3 linked regions of the Xenopus tropicalis genome follow. The protein of the gene in region 1 purifies or fractionates together with the protein of each later gene. This does not show direct contact. Links are inferred from orthologs where the notes say so. Each region holds a gene or a part of one and is shown in the gene's direction. Other genes may lie near its edges.

What was found. The genes of interacting proteins can lie anywhere in the genome.
Region 2: the proteins of uncharacterized protein LOC496835 (region 1) and polr3f purify together in Homo sapiens (affinity purification with mass spectrometry; 3 studies listed by BioGRID and IntAct, with this or other methods). This does not show direct contact. The link is inferred for Xenopus tropicalis from reciprocal best matches to the Homo sapiens genes POLR1D and POLR3F.
Region 3: the proteins of uncharacterized protein LOC496835 (region 1) and polr2e purify together in Homo sapiens (affinity purification with mass spectrometry; 4 studies listed by BioGRID and IntAct, with this or other methods). This does not show direct contact. The link is inferred for Xenopus tropicalis from reciprocal best matches to the Homo sapiens genes POLR1D and POLR2E.

Annotation. Positions count from the first base shown.
Region 1 is NC_030678.2:155,277,843-155,281,597, reverse strand, and holds the start of uncharacterized protein LOC496835, read left to right. Parts: upstream 1-1,093; 5' UTR 1,094-1,099; coding exon 1,100-1,122; intron 1,123-2,474; coding exon 2,475-2,549; intron 2,550-3,755.
Region 2 is NC_030681.2:38,387,926-38,391,680, forward strand, and holds the start of polr3f (DNA-directed RNA polymerase III subunit RPC6), read left to right. Parts: upstream 1-1,091; 5' UTR 1,092-1,253; coding exon 1,254-1,309; intron 1,310-2,836; coding exon 2,837-2,954; intron 2,955-3,755. UniProt on the Homo sapiens protein: DNA-dependent RNA polymerase catalyzes the transcription of DNA into RNA using the four ribonucleoside triphosphates as substrates.
Region 3 is NC_030677.2:100,196,938-100,200,692, reverse strand, and holds the start of polr2e (DNA-directed RNA polymerases I, II, and III subunit RPABC1), read left to right. Parts: upstream 1-1,161; 5' UTR 1,162-1,171; coding exon 1,172-1,228; intron 1,229-1,438; coding exon 1,439-1,613; intron 1,614-1,711; coding exon 1,712-1,827; intron 1,828-3,442; coding exon 3,443-3,523; intron 3,524-3,755. UniProt on the Homo sapiens protein: DNA-dependent RNA polymerase catalyzes the transcription of DNA into RNA using the four ribonucleoside triphosphates as substrates.

The DNA of each region.
Region 1 (3,755 bases):
AGGGCCCACCGACACCTGGGCCCACCGGGAGTTTTCCTGGTATCCTGGGGGGCCAGTCCGACTGCCTGGGCTGCTGCACTTTTTGAAAAAGAGAAACACCATTCCTGTGTAGCAAGTAAGGGACTAGCACAGTGATCCCATTTAATGTTACTCCCTGAGGCCTTAATGCAGGCACTTATTTTTGAATTCCTGGCTTGGAGGCAAAAAATGAAAGTGTATAAAAATAATTACAATATAATGAACTGTTGCCCTGCACTGGTACAGCTGGTGTGTTTGCCTCAGAAAGTCTATAGTTTATATAAACAAAGGTGCTGTGTAGCCATGGGGGCAGCCATTCAAAGGAGAAAAGGCACAGGCACATAGCAGATAACAGATAAAACCCCATTATATTCTACAGAGCTTATCTGTTATCTGCTATGTAACCTGTGCCTTTTCTCCTTTTTCAAGGTTGAATGGCTGCCCCCATGGCTACACAGCAGCTTATTATATATAAATTATAGTAGAGTTACTGTAGCAAACACACAACTTTACCTGTGCAGGGCAACAGTACATTATATTTTAAATACTTTAATACACTTTCATTTTTGGCGTTACTGTTCCTTTAACCGCGCTGCCAACCTACAGGCATTAGTGACAGGGAGGAATGCAGAGTGGAAATTGTTTTCTCAATACGCCAGTATTTGGCACAATCTCTGAGGTTTTTCAAGTTTGTTTTGTTCCCCAACTCATTTTAAAGTTACTAACAGGTAAAAAAGTTAGGGTATCCCTACACTAGAACCACTTTGCTGTGTTCTCCAACTTGCCCCCCCCAAAACCCCCTATGGTTTTGCGCCAGAGTTTGGGTAAACTTAGCACAATCATTCCACAACTTTTTTTAACCATTGATGACAGTCGTCGTAGTGTTAATCAATATTTTACTATCCATGTGATCTCACAGCGCTGCCCAAAACTATATATATATATATTCCCTTCAGCACTAGGGAGGCACTCCGCAGCTCAGTGACGCCTCTGGCCCCGCCCATTCCGGAAGTCGCTGCGCTGCTTGGCGTTGTTGCCATCTCGCCAGTGTATTTCCGGGTTCCTTTGCTGCAGAGCAGAAATGCAGGAAGACGAATTGGAACGGTACGAAGTATATGCGAAATAGAAATAAAATTGCATGCTGCTGCTTGTGAGCTGTCTATGTTTTACCCCAGTGAACGCTTTATAGTGCAGAGACTGCTTGGGTAGTGGGTGAAGGATAAATAATAATATATACATGAATTGTTATGGGACAGCTGTTGCTGGGGAAGTGGGGACTGATTGGGTGCAGTTACTTTTGGGTCCTTGTTAGGAATACATAGGGGGAGATTTACTAATCCACGAATCCGAAACCGGAATGGCAAAAATTCAGATTGGAAAGAAAATTTTGCCGTCTTTTCGTCGCCGCCGCAACTTTTTCGTATTTGTCGCGACTTTTTCGTCGCCGACACGACATTATCGTATTTTGCGCAACTATTTCGTCGCCGTTGCAATTTTTTCGTATTGAGCGATTGTAAACGGCGGAAAAACCAATCCGATTTTTTCGCGACGGCGACGAAAAAGTTGCAGAAAATATACGAAAAAGTCGCAAAAATACCGATCATTGCGAAAAAAACGCATGCGGATGCCTTCGGACCGTTCGTGGATTAGTAAATCTGCCCCATAGTGTTGATCCGTAGGCTATAGAGAGCTCTTACTGGTACTGAAAGCCAGCTGGCCAGACTGTGGTTCATGTATATCACTGAAAGGCAACCAATAGCCCTTTTTGTATTGTGGAATTACAGCTTCCAGGGTTGGTTGTTGCAGTGGGAGTTAAAGTTAAACTACATCAATAAAGCAGCAATTAGAGATGTGATTTTGGTTTTCACTTTTTTGTAAAAAAAAAAAAAAATACTGGCCTTTCTATGTAATTATCTTTCTTCCCTATTAATAACATTGACATCAAGCATTATTTTGACCGGCTGGGTTGGTATAATACCAAGCAGCCATAGATGGAATTAGGATTGTGCACATTTACATGTCTCTGGGAAGCACTGTGCATGGTTCAGGATTTGTAGGTCCCATAGATTTTGCTTAGAACACTCTCAGCCCACTTATAATAAAATAGTAAACCAATAAAAGCAGTTTGGTCATGCAGTTTTTGGTGCCGTTGCCATATTAATACATATTCAGTGTACTTGCCTGGAGACCAAAAGAAGAGACTGCTAGTTGGAGGCAGATTTGTTGAAATAATGGAATTTTTAAAAAAAAAACGTAAAGTATACTAATGTTTAATAATGTTAATAGGCCTTATTTCATGCGTTTGATACATTTTTTGTCCTCTTTAAATTGGTGTAAAAGAACTTTCCCCCCAAAACATGTGTGTAGATTTTTATTTATGTAGCAATACTTATATATGTTGGGCTGTACAGCCGATATTGTTAATGCTAATTTCTTGCTCTTTTATGCCGATGCAGGAAAGCTGTAGAAGAGCTTCTCAAAGAAGCAAAACGTGGCAAGATCCGAGCTGAAACTATGGGACCAATGGGCTGGTAAGTGGTTTCTTTATACAATTTTTAATGATATATGTGCGTGTAACACTATTGTATGGTTAGTAACTGTGTTCATATTAAAAATACTGGTGTGTTTATAAAACTTGAAAAAACTGTTCTCTTCCTTTAAAAAAGGAAATGGGTAGTCAATGGAGGGAGGTGCAAACCCCTCATACAGTTATTATAATCATCATTATTATTTTCACTTAAAATACACTGGCCCTGTGTACTATTCTTGTGAGGCCTGTCCTGTGCCTATGTGCAGCATAGTAAAATGTGTAATTCAATGTGAAATGACAGGTAGGCTTCTCTTGCACTTAAACACAGAGTAGGGCCACTGCAAAGATTCAGAGAACAGCAATAAGATGACTGCATGGCGCTAATAAGGATAATACCCCAAGCCAGTCATAGGTAAGTGATTATAATCTAGGAATCCCAAACCCGAAATATGCTAATTAGGAAGAGAAAGGGGGAAAAATTGCAGCGTGCGCAGCAAAAAATTTTTCCCCCTACCATATAATCCTTACAAACATGGGCGTCCGCAGAAAATTTTCCAAGGGGGGGCAAGTAAGCTAGCATCATCCTGCAACAGACAAATATATATATATATATATATTTAAAAATATATATTTTTTTTTTGCAGGATGATACTAGGGGAGGCTAAAGATGGCCCATACACAGTCCGACCTACAGCTAATGTGACACTTAGTGGATTCGCTGCTGGCGTAAAAAGTTAACCTCCCAACTACCTCTTGCCGTTCCCACTGACTACCAGGGATACTGTACAAAAGTGCGGGTGGGGGTGCTTTTTTTTTTTTACCCTAAAATGTTTAGGATGTAAAAGTATTCATACGCGCACGCGGGATCTGCAAACATTTGTGTTTGTGATCAGTTAGCTTAAAGGGGTAGTTCGCATTCAATTCACTTTTATTTTTAATGGTTTTTCAGTTATTTAGCTTTTTGTTCAGCAGCTCTCCATTTGGTATTTCAGCAGCTATCTGGTTGCTAGGGTCTTATTTACCCTAGCAACCAGGTAGTGGTTTAAACAAGAGATGGGAATATGAATAGTTAAGGGGCCTACTTAGAAAAATAAGTAATACAAAATTATAATAATAATAAAATTGTAGCCTCACAGAGCAATATTTTTTGGCCCCCATTTGAAATCTGTATAGAGGCAGAAGAGAAAGGCAAATTATTCAAAAAAAT
Region 2 (3,755 bases), on another chromosome or scaffold:
CCATAGGGACCATTTAACCCTATGGGTCCCTACATGTACATGGGCAGTTGACTCAATAAGGCCAAATACTCTTGACAGTGGCATAACTACCTATACAGCAGACCCCATGACCATGGGGGGCGGAAGCTGGGCCATGAGGTCCACTGTGTGTAGTTTGCCATCCATAGTCACTTCTAAATGTCCACTTTGCTGGCTCTCATTTGAGCTTAAGCGTGCATGCCGGGCCCCTCCGAAGATATTTTTTTTGTGGGGGTGGGGCCAGACCACTCAAGGTACGCTACTGTCTCTTGACCAAAAACATTGCACTAAGGGACATTGTCACCATTTGTTGGCCACTGTACCCAACTTTCTGCAGTTCAAATGAATACATTAGAAATTGATTAAATGATTTATTGTATTTGTCCTGTCAGCATTTGTACTTAGCAAAACTTTTAATTAGTCAAACAGCCATAAAATGATTCTGAGGCTATAATTCTCCCAGACAATCTGGTGCATGAGATGAGCTTACATACATGTACTGTACATGCTACACCAGTCCCGCTTTATAAAAACGTATAAAATATAAAAATATTTCAGCCACTGAAAAACATGTAACTAGAAGTTAATGGGCTTCATCGAATCACATAGCATTGAGTTCGAAAAGCATAAGTTCGCAAGCTGCAGAGCACTATCTATGGCGAGCAGTAACCTACAGACTCTTCATTAGTCTAAATTGATAGCACCCTGACTTACCTTGATAAAATATCCCACTGTGGACCCCGGCGCAGCCTTTGTCCCACCTCCCGTTACTAGAGACGCGGTGTAGTAAAAACCTGCTTCCTGACGGTGTCTGCCCTTTTCATTGGTCAAGTCTGGCTGCCTAGCAACTAAAGATGCGAAGATGACGCTAATAAACCATCGCCCATATTTCTTCACACTCTCAAAGCGCATGCTCCTATGCATGACGTATTTCCGCAGCAAATGCTACACAGACGACTTGCTGTATTTGGAAATTGTAAAGCGTGAAAATGTTTGGTTAGCGACAACGTAAATCGCGAAGTCCTTTAGTTAAAAGACGTAGTACCTTTGATTTGAAAATATATTGTCCGCTCGGAAGTTGTTCCGTTCCAAACGCTCCCTTTTGCCCGAAAGCAAAATGGCTGCCGATACTTTCTGCTGATCGAGCTGCAGCGCTAGTGCTACCTGAACTGGGGGTGTTGGGGCGACAGTCGTTAAGGGGGACACGTGGGCAAAGGATAGGGACTCAAATAAACATGTCAGAAGCGAAGGTGAAGCAAGAAGGTGGGGAGGCAGCGGAGATAGAGAACAGGTAAGCGGTGCAAAGCGGAGTATGTCTTTGGCGTTTTGGCTATGTTGGTTTACTTTTTTCAATTACATAAGGTTTAAATGAAAGTCCCTTGCATTAGAAAGACACATTGATCAATATAATCATATTGGCAGCATATGCTTACAGTTATAGCAGAAAACTAAAGTTATTTATTAGTTGTGTCACTTGCTGTCACGCATTGACTTGCTCAATGTCTGTCCCAGGTTATATCCAGCCTTTCTTCAGAGCTGTGGTCCCAGACCAGGCATTAGAACCCTACTAGTATTTTGAAAAGCTTCATGGCAATCTCAGCTATACCTTATCTAAAGGACATGACTACACCTACACTGTGGCTGACTGATGAGACATGAACACATTTGCTAAAAGATGTGGGGTTTTTATCTGCAGGAAACCTAAAACTGTAGAGGCCAGTGTATGCCTATAGACACTTTTGCTAAACATCAGCATACTAAATAAGTCTTGTGTTGAGAATGTAATCTTTTTTTATTTTAGTTTAAAAATCCATATTTTTAACATTTATCAAATGTTTTGTAGTTATAAAGCACTAAAATAAAAGTGTTTTGTTTTTCCCCACTATTGTTTAAATGAGAATAATGAGCTGTGTATAAAGCAAATCCACTCTCTCCTAAGATGTAGCCTTTGTTAGACTTTGTGATTAGGAGCAGCCAGTGCTTATCTGTATACTGTTGATTTGTTTTACCACAAATGATGATTTGGCAGAACCAGGAAACTAGAAAATTTAAGCTGTCAGTGTCTTTGTTTAGTGCAAGAAATAACTAAAAGCCATACATTACTTGGAAAAACTATATTTATTGTTTAGCTCATGGTAAAAAGAAATATACTGCCCCTTAAAGGAAACTTTTAAGGACTGTCTTATAGTAAAAAGGGACAATAAAAATATGTGGTTATGATAAAGTTACACCGAATTAAAAAAAAAACAAGTGTGTTTATGCCAGGCCCGGTCTGACAGTCTATGGATTCTGGCCAATGCCAGAGTGGCTGCTGCAAGATGCCATAGAACGTCACTATGTATTGCACCTGTGGGGGGCTGTTTGGGCCTTTGTACATGAAATTCCTCTTTTGAATCTTAGTCCGGACCTGTAGACTGCCTCTGGTGTATGTAGTACAGCATGTAGTACCAAAAAACATCCAACATCTGTCTACCAATGGAGGGTGGCTGTTATTACAGCTGTCCAAAAAAAAAAAAAGCAGCAATGGCTTCGGTTCTTTAAACATCCTCTTTGTTGTTAGTGTGATTTTTAGTCACATAATACTCCGTTCCAGCCGTTTGTTTCTTGCAGTTGTTGGCTCACATAAGGGGTAGCAGTTCTTTCATACTGGACATGATCTAAATATTCTGCATGTGTTGTGCATTCCTTCCACTAACATCAGGGGCCAAAATTATTACAAATAAAATGTTAGAGAAAGTCAACAGTCTCATAAACACTTAACACAGTTACACTTAAGCTTTTTCTAGTTCTTTAATGGTATTTTTTTCTATATATTTAGGGTTATTGAGCTGTGCCAGCAGTTTCCTCATGGTATCACTGACCAAGTTATTCAAAATGAGATGCCTCACATTGAAGCCAAACAAAGGGCCATGTGCATCAACCGACTGCTGGCAACTGTAAGTTCTTTTATATTTGTTTTCTTTTTGTCTTACATAATGTATGTTAAAACTATGGCTATATGGCCCCTTGTTTAGATTGAGATACTGAGGGGCAGTTCATTTTGCAAGCTAGGAAATACAGAAGTAAATCACCAAAACTACAAAAACAATAATGGCAGTAGTGACAACGTTTTAACTTTATTATTGCCTAATATTACTTGCATTATCATTTTGAATTTAGCCCCTTGCATGTCATAAATATTTGATGTTGCCCCTCTGTATGTTCCCAATAGTTATACACTGCAGAATAGATAAATCAAAGGCTTCTTTACTGTGACAAATGCCATATAGGGTTAAACATTAAAAAGTTTGAACATTTTTACAATCCATTTCAGTAGAATGACTTTAGGCCAGAACATGTAATACCAGAGAGCAGTTCTAGGATATTCTTTTTATCAACAATTTTTACCAACAAGATTGCTCGTTGCCTGTATGGAAACAGCACAAATATCTTTTGATACCTATTGATAATCAAGTATGGAATACACTCCCCAGCATCCCCATACACTCCCCAGCATCCTGCAGCTGCCCACCCCAGCATTCTCCAGCTCCCCCCCCAGCATTCTCCAGCTCCCCCCCCAGCATTCTCCAGCTCCCCCCACCAGCATTCTCCAGCTCCCCCCACCAGCATTCTCCAGCTCCCCCCACCAGCATCCTCCAGCTCCCCCACCAGCATCCTCCAGCTCCCCCCACCAGCATCCTCCAGCTCCCCCCACCAGCATCCTCCAGCTCCCCCCACCAGCATCCTCCAGCTCCCCC
Region 3 (3,755 bases), on another chromosome or scaffold:
TCACAAGCTGGAATTGGATTTCTTACTATTGAGTGCAATTCTGAGATCTACTGGGAGCTGCTATCTTGCTACCTTCCCATTATTCTGCCGATTGGCTGCTGGGAGGGGGTTCATATCACTCCAACTTGCAGCTCAGCAGTAAAGTGTGAGTTCAGAGCACAGGTCACATGACTGTGGCACCCTGGGAAATGAAGAATATGGCTAGCCCAACGTGAAATTTCAAAATTAAATATAAAAAAAATCAGTTTGTGTTTTTGAAAAATGGATTTCAATGCAGGATTCTGCTGGAGACGCTCTATTAACAGATATGTTTTTAAAAAATACGTTTTTCCCGTGACAGTATTAATTTAACGTATTGTATCCTTACCTTGTATTTACTATCATACTTTGTATTTATTTTATTGTAATAGTCCCGTTTATTCTATTCATTTATTGTCCTACTGTACAGCGCTGGGTACATAAGTAGTGCTATATAAATAAAAATATATATACATACATAAAGATAATATTATATATCAAAATGGGGCTTGGGGCAAAAATAAAAAAAAATCTTAATAAAACACTGCTCGCCTTAAAACAGTTTAACAAGTATTTCTAAAGAATATTTAGTTTACGTAATTCTTGTAGTTAGCCTATCATTGGCACATTACCACACCCTCTTTTGCCAATAACTAATCCCTATACCTTTAGAGGGTTAACTCTTAAACTTAGCCACTTATAATATTAATGCAGAGCGCCATGTAACTATGTGACGCAATATAAATACACGAAGACGATGAATATAGGAACGGTAGTAATACCCACCAACAAAATGGTGATCTTTACAAGAACATGTACGCCGGCTTCTTGCCTACCACAAACATGGCCGAGCCCTTCAACTGCGACGATGCAATTTCTTTGGTCTTCCTTAGCGTGATACCGAAACTTGAACAAATTCTACAACCCGAATAGCCACCTTCAGCAAAAAAGGGAAACGATATTATGCGCAACTTTATTCCTTTTCCACAGTGCAGTTTTAAGCTAATAACACGTCCTCAGAGATACCCCACAGCAGTATTCGCTTGTAGCCATCAGGCAGAGTGAGGGCAGCCCATGTAGGGTCCTCCTGCAGCCCAGGGAGCCGAGCTCCGGAAATCGCGCTCTTCTTCCTGTTTGGTCTCGTGGAGACAACATGGACGATGAGGAGGAAACTTACCGGTTGTGGAAGATCCGCAAAACTATTATGCAGGTGAGAAAATTGAGTTTTAAATCTTTTTGTGTTATAATCTTCGCCTTTTTCAGTAATTCGAACTCAGCTACGTTGTGTTGGGTACCATTCATTTCTGCTTCCAGCATATACTTCTACTGTACTCTTCGTCCCTGTCACTTTTACTTTTGTGCTTTACCTCATCTGTCTCCATATTACCTGTTTCACTCGCATCCTTCTTTCCTTCGCCAGCTGTGCCATGACCGTGGTTACTTAGTAACGCAGGATGAATTGGATCAGACACTGGATGAGTTTAAAGCCCAGTTTGGGGACAAACCTAGCGAAGGGCGCCCTCGCCGAACTGACCTGACTGTATTAGTAGCTCATAATGATGATCCCACAGACCAAATGTTTGTTTTCTTCCCAGGTGAGTAGGTGCAAAAAAAAAAAAAAAAACAGTGACTGGCTGAAGGGTCTATACATGCAGACAAAGGATTATTACATGTTTGCCTGTCTTATTTGTAGAGGAACCCAAAGTTGGCATTAAGACAATTAAGATGTATTGCCAGAGAATGCAGGAGGAGAACATTACGAGGGCTTTAATCGTGGTGCAGCAGGGAATGACCCCATCTGCCAAACAGGTAATTCTGCCAGCTAACGTGCACCTTACCTAAGCATACTTACTGGGTGAACTGCAGTTCTGATCCAAAGCTTTTATAAATGAAAATGTACAGATAAAATATATACTACTCCGATGAATTAATTTTCTATGTGATTTGTATGTTTTGCTGGCAAAAGACACCTAAGCTTTATTTTTTATCTTAAAAATGGGATAAGTTTGAAAGACCCTTCTTTAAAAAGGAATACACCTATTATTAAAACTATAGATCTCATCTGCTAAATGCAAAAAAGTGCAATTTGCCATATTACCCCTCAGTGCAGCATCCTTCCTGCAGCATAGGCATACACTTACATGGTTGTCAGTCATGTGCAGTTCAGCTTCCACAACCTTGATTGGCTATGAGTGCATAAGGAGGCCCAGTGCTTAAAGGAACAGTAACACCAAAAAATGAAAGTGTATAAAAATAATTAATATATTATATACTATTGTTTTGCACTGGTAAAAGTTGTGTGTTTTCTTCATAAACACTACTGCAGTTTATATAAATACCCTACTGTGTAGCCACGGGGGCAGCCATTTAAATTGAAAAAAAGAGAAAAGGCACAGGTTGCTAAGCAGATAACAATTAAGTAGCAGATTCCCATTGTATTCTACACAGTTTATCTGGTATCTTCTTATGTAACCTGTGCCTTTTCTCCTTTTTTCAATTTAAATGGCTGCCCCCATGGCTACACAGCAGCTATTTCTATTAACTATAGTAGTCTTTCTGAAGCAAACACGCAACTTTTACTAGTGCAGGGCAACAGTAAATTATATTTTAATTATTTTAAAACATTTTTATTTTTTAGTGTTACTGTTCCTTTAACACCAGGCCCAGACTGCCAGTCTGTGGATTCTGGCAAATGCCAGAGGAACTGCTGTAAGATCCCACAGACAGTTGCTGTTTGGGCCTTTGTGTATTTGAAATATTAGGGCCTATTTTGAATCTCAGCCTGGGTCTGCATAACACCAGGTCAAACCAGATGTTAAGCACAGGGCTTGGGTGCAAGTAGGTGCAGGTCATATGCGTATGCTGTTTAAAATTTGCAATTCTGGCTGATGAACTAACATAGTCATATTATCCAAGTATAAGCAGGTTACCGTTTTATGTTCTCTGGCAAGTAAGATAAAGGCAGACGTTTACTAGTTAATTAGTTACTAGTTAATATTGTATGATTATTACTTAATACTACTACCACGTTTTCTAAAAACAGGATCGAATCACTTTATTTGCCTGATGGAAAGGTAAAGGACAACTATAAACCTTCTCTCCTATGATATAGGAAAGAGGATGGACCGGTCATTGCATATAAATATGAATGTAACCTTTTCATGCTAAATCATAATAAAGACGTTAAAAAAAAAAATTGGCAATTCTGCACCTACTTCTTGTAAGTGAGCCCTTTTGACTTCAATCCAGTTGAAACCTTGTTTCCTATGCATAGGATAAATACTGCCAAAATCTGAAAAAATATTTTAATTATTAAATTATCAGTTAATGTAGTAAAATGTTTACATGGTGTTAGTCCATAATAAATACTATCCAAAGCTTCTGCCAGCTTTCCTATCTTTATAGCAATCTCTTTATTTTGCAGTCCCTGGTGGATATGGCACCCAAATACATTCTGGAGCAGTTTCTACAACAGGAGCTTCTGATTAATATCACAGAGCATGAGGTGAGTTTTAATACAGAAGGGGAAGAAACACTTTCACTCATACTGAAACGTTTCTGTTATCCATACACACTGACATGTAATAGGTGGGTGCACATGGGAACGTTAGGTGCCTTCTTGATGAGTAGCAGCAGAGTATTGTAATGTGTTAGCCATAGTTTCAGAAAAAAGATTTTAGGTGGTAACATGATACCGTTTAAAATTAATTAACCAATAAACAGTATCACCTTCCCAC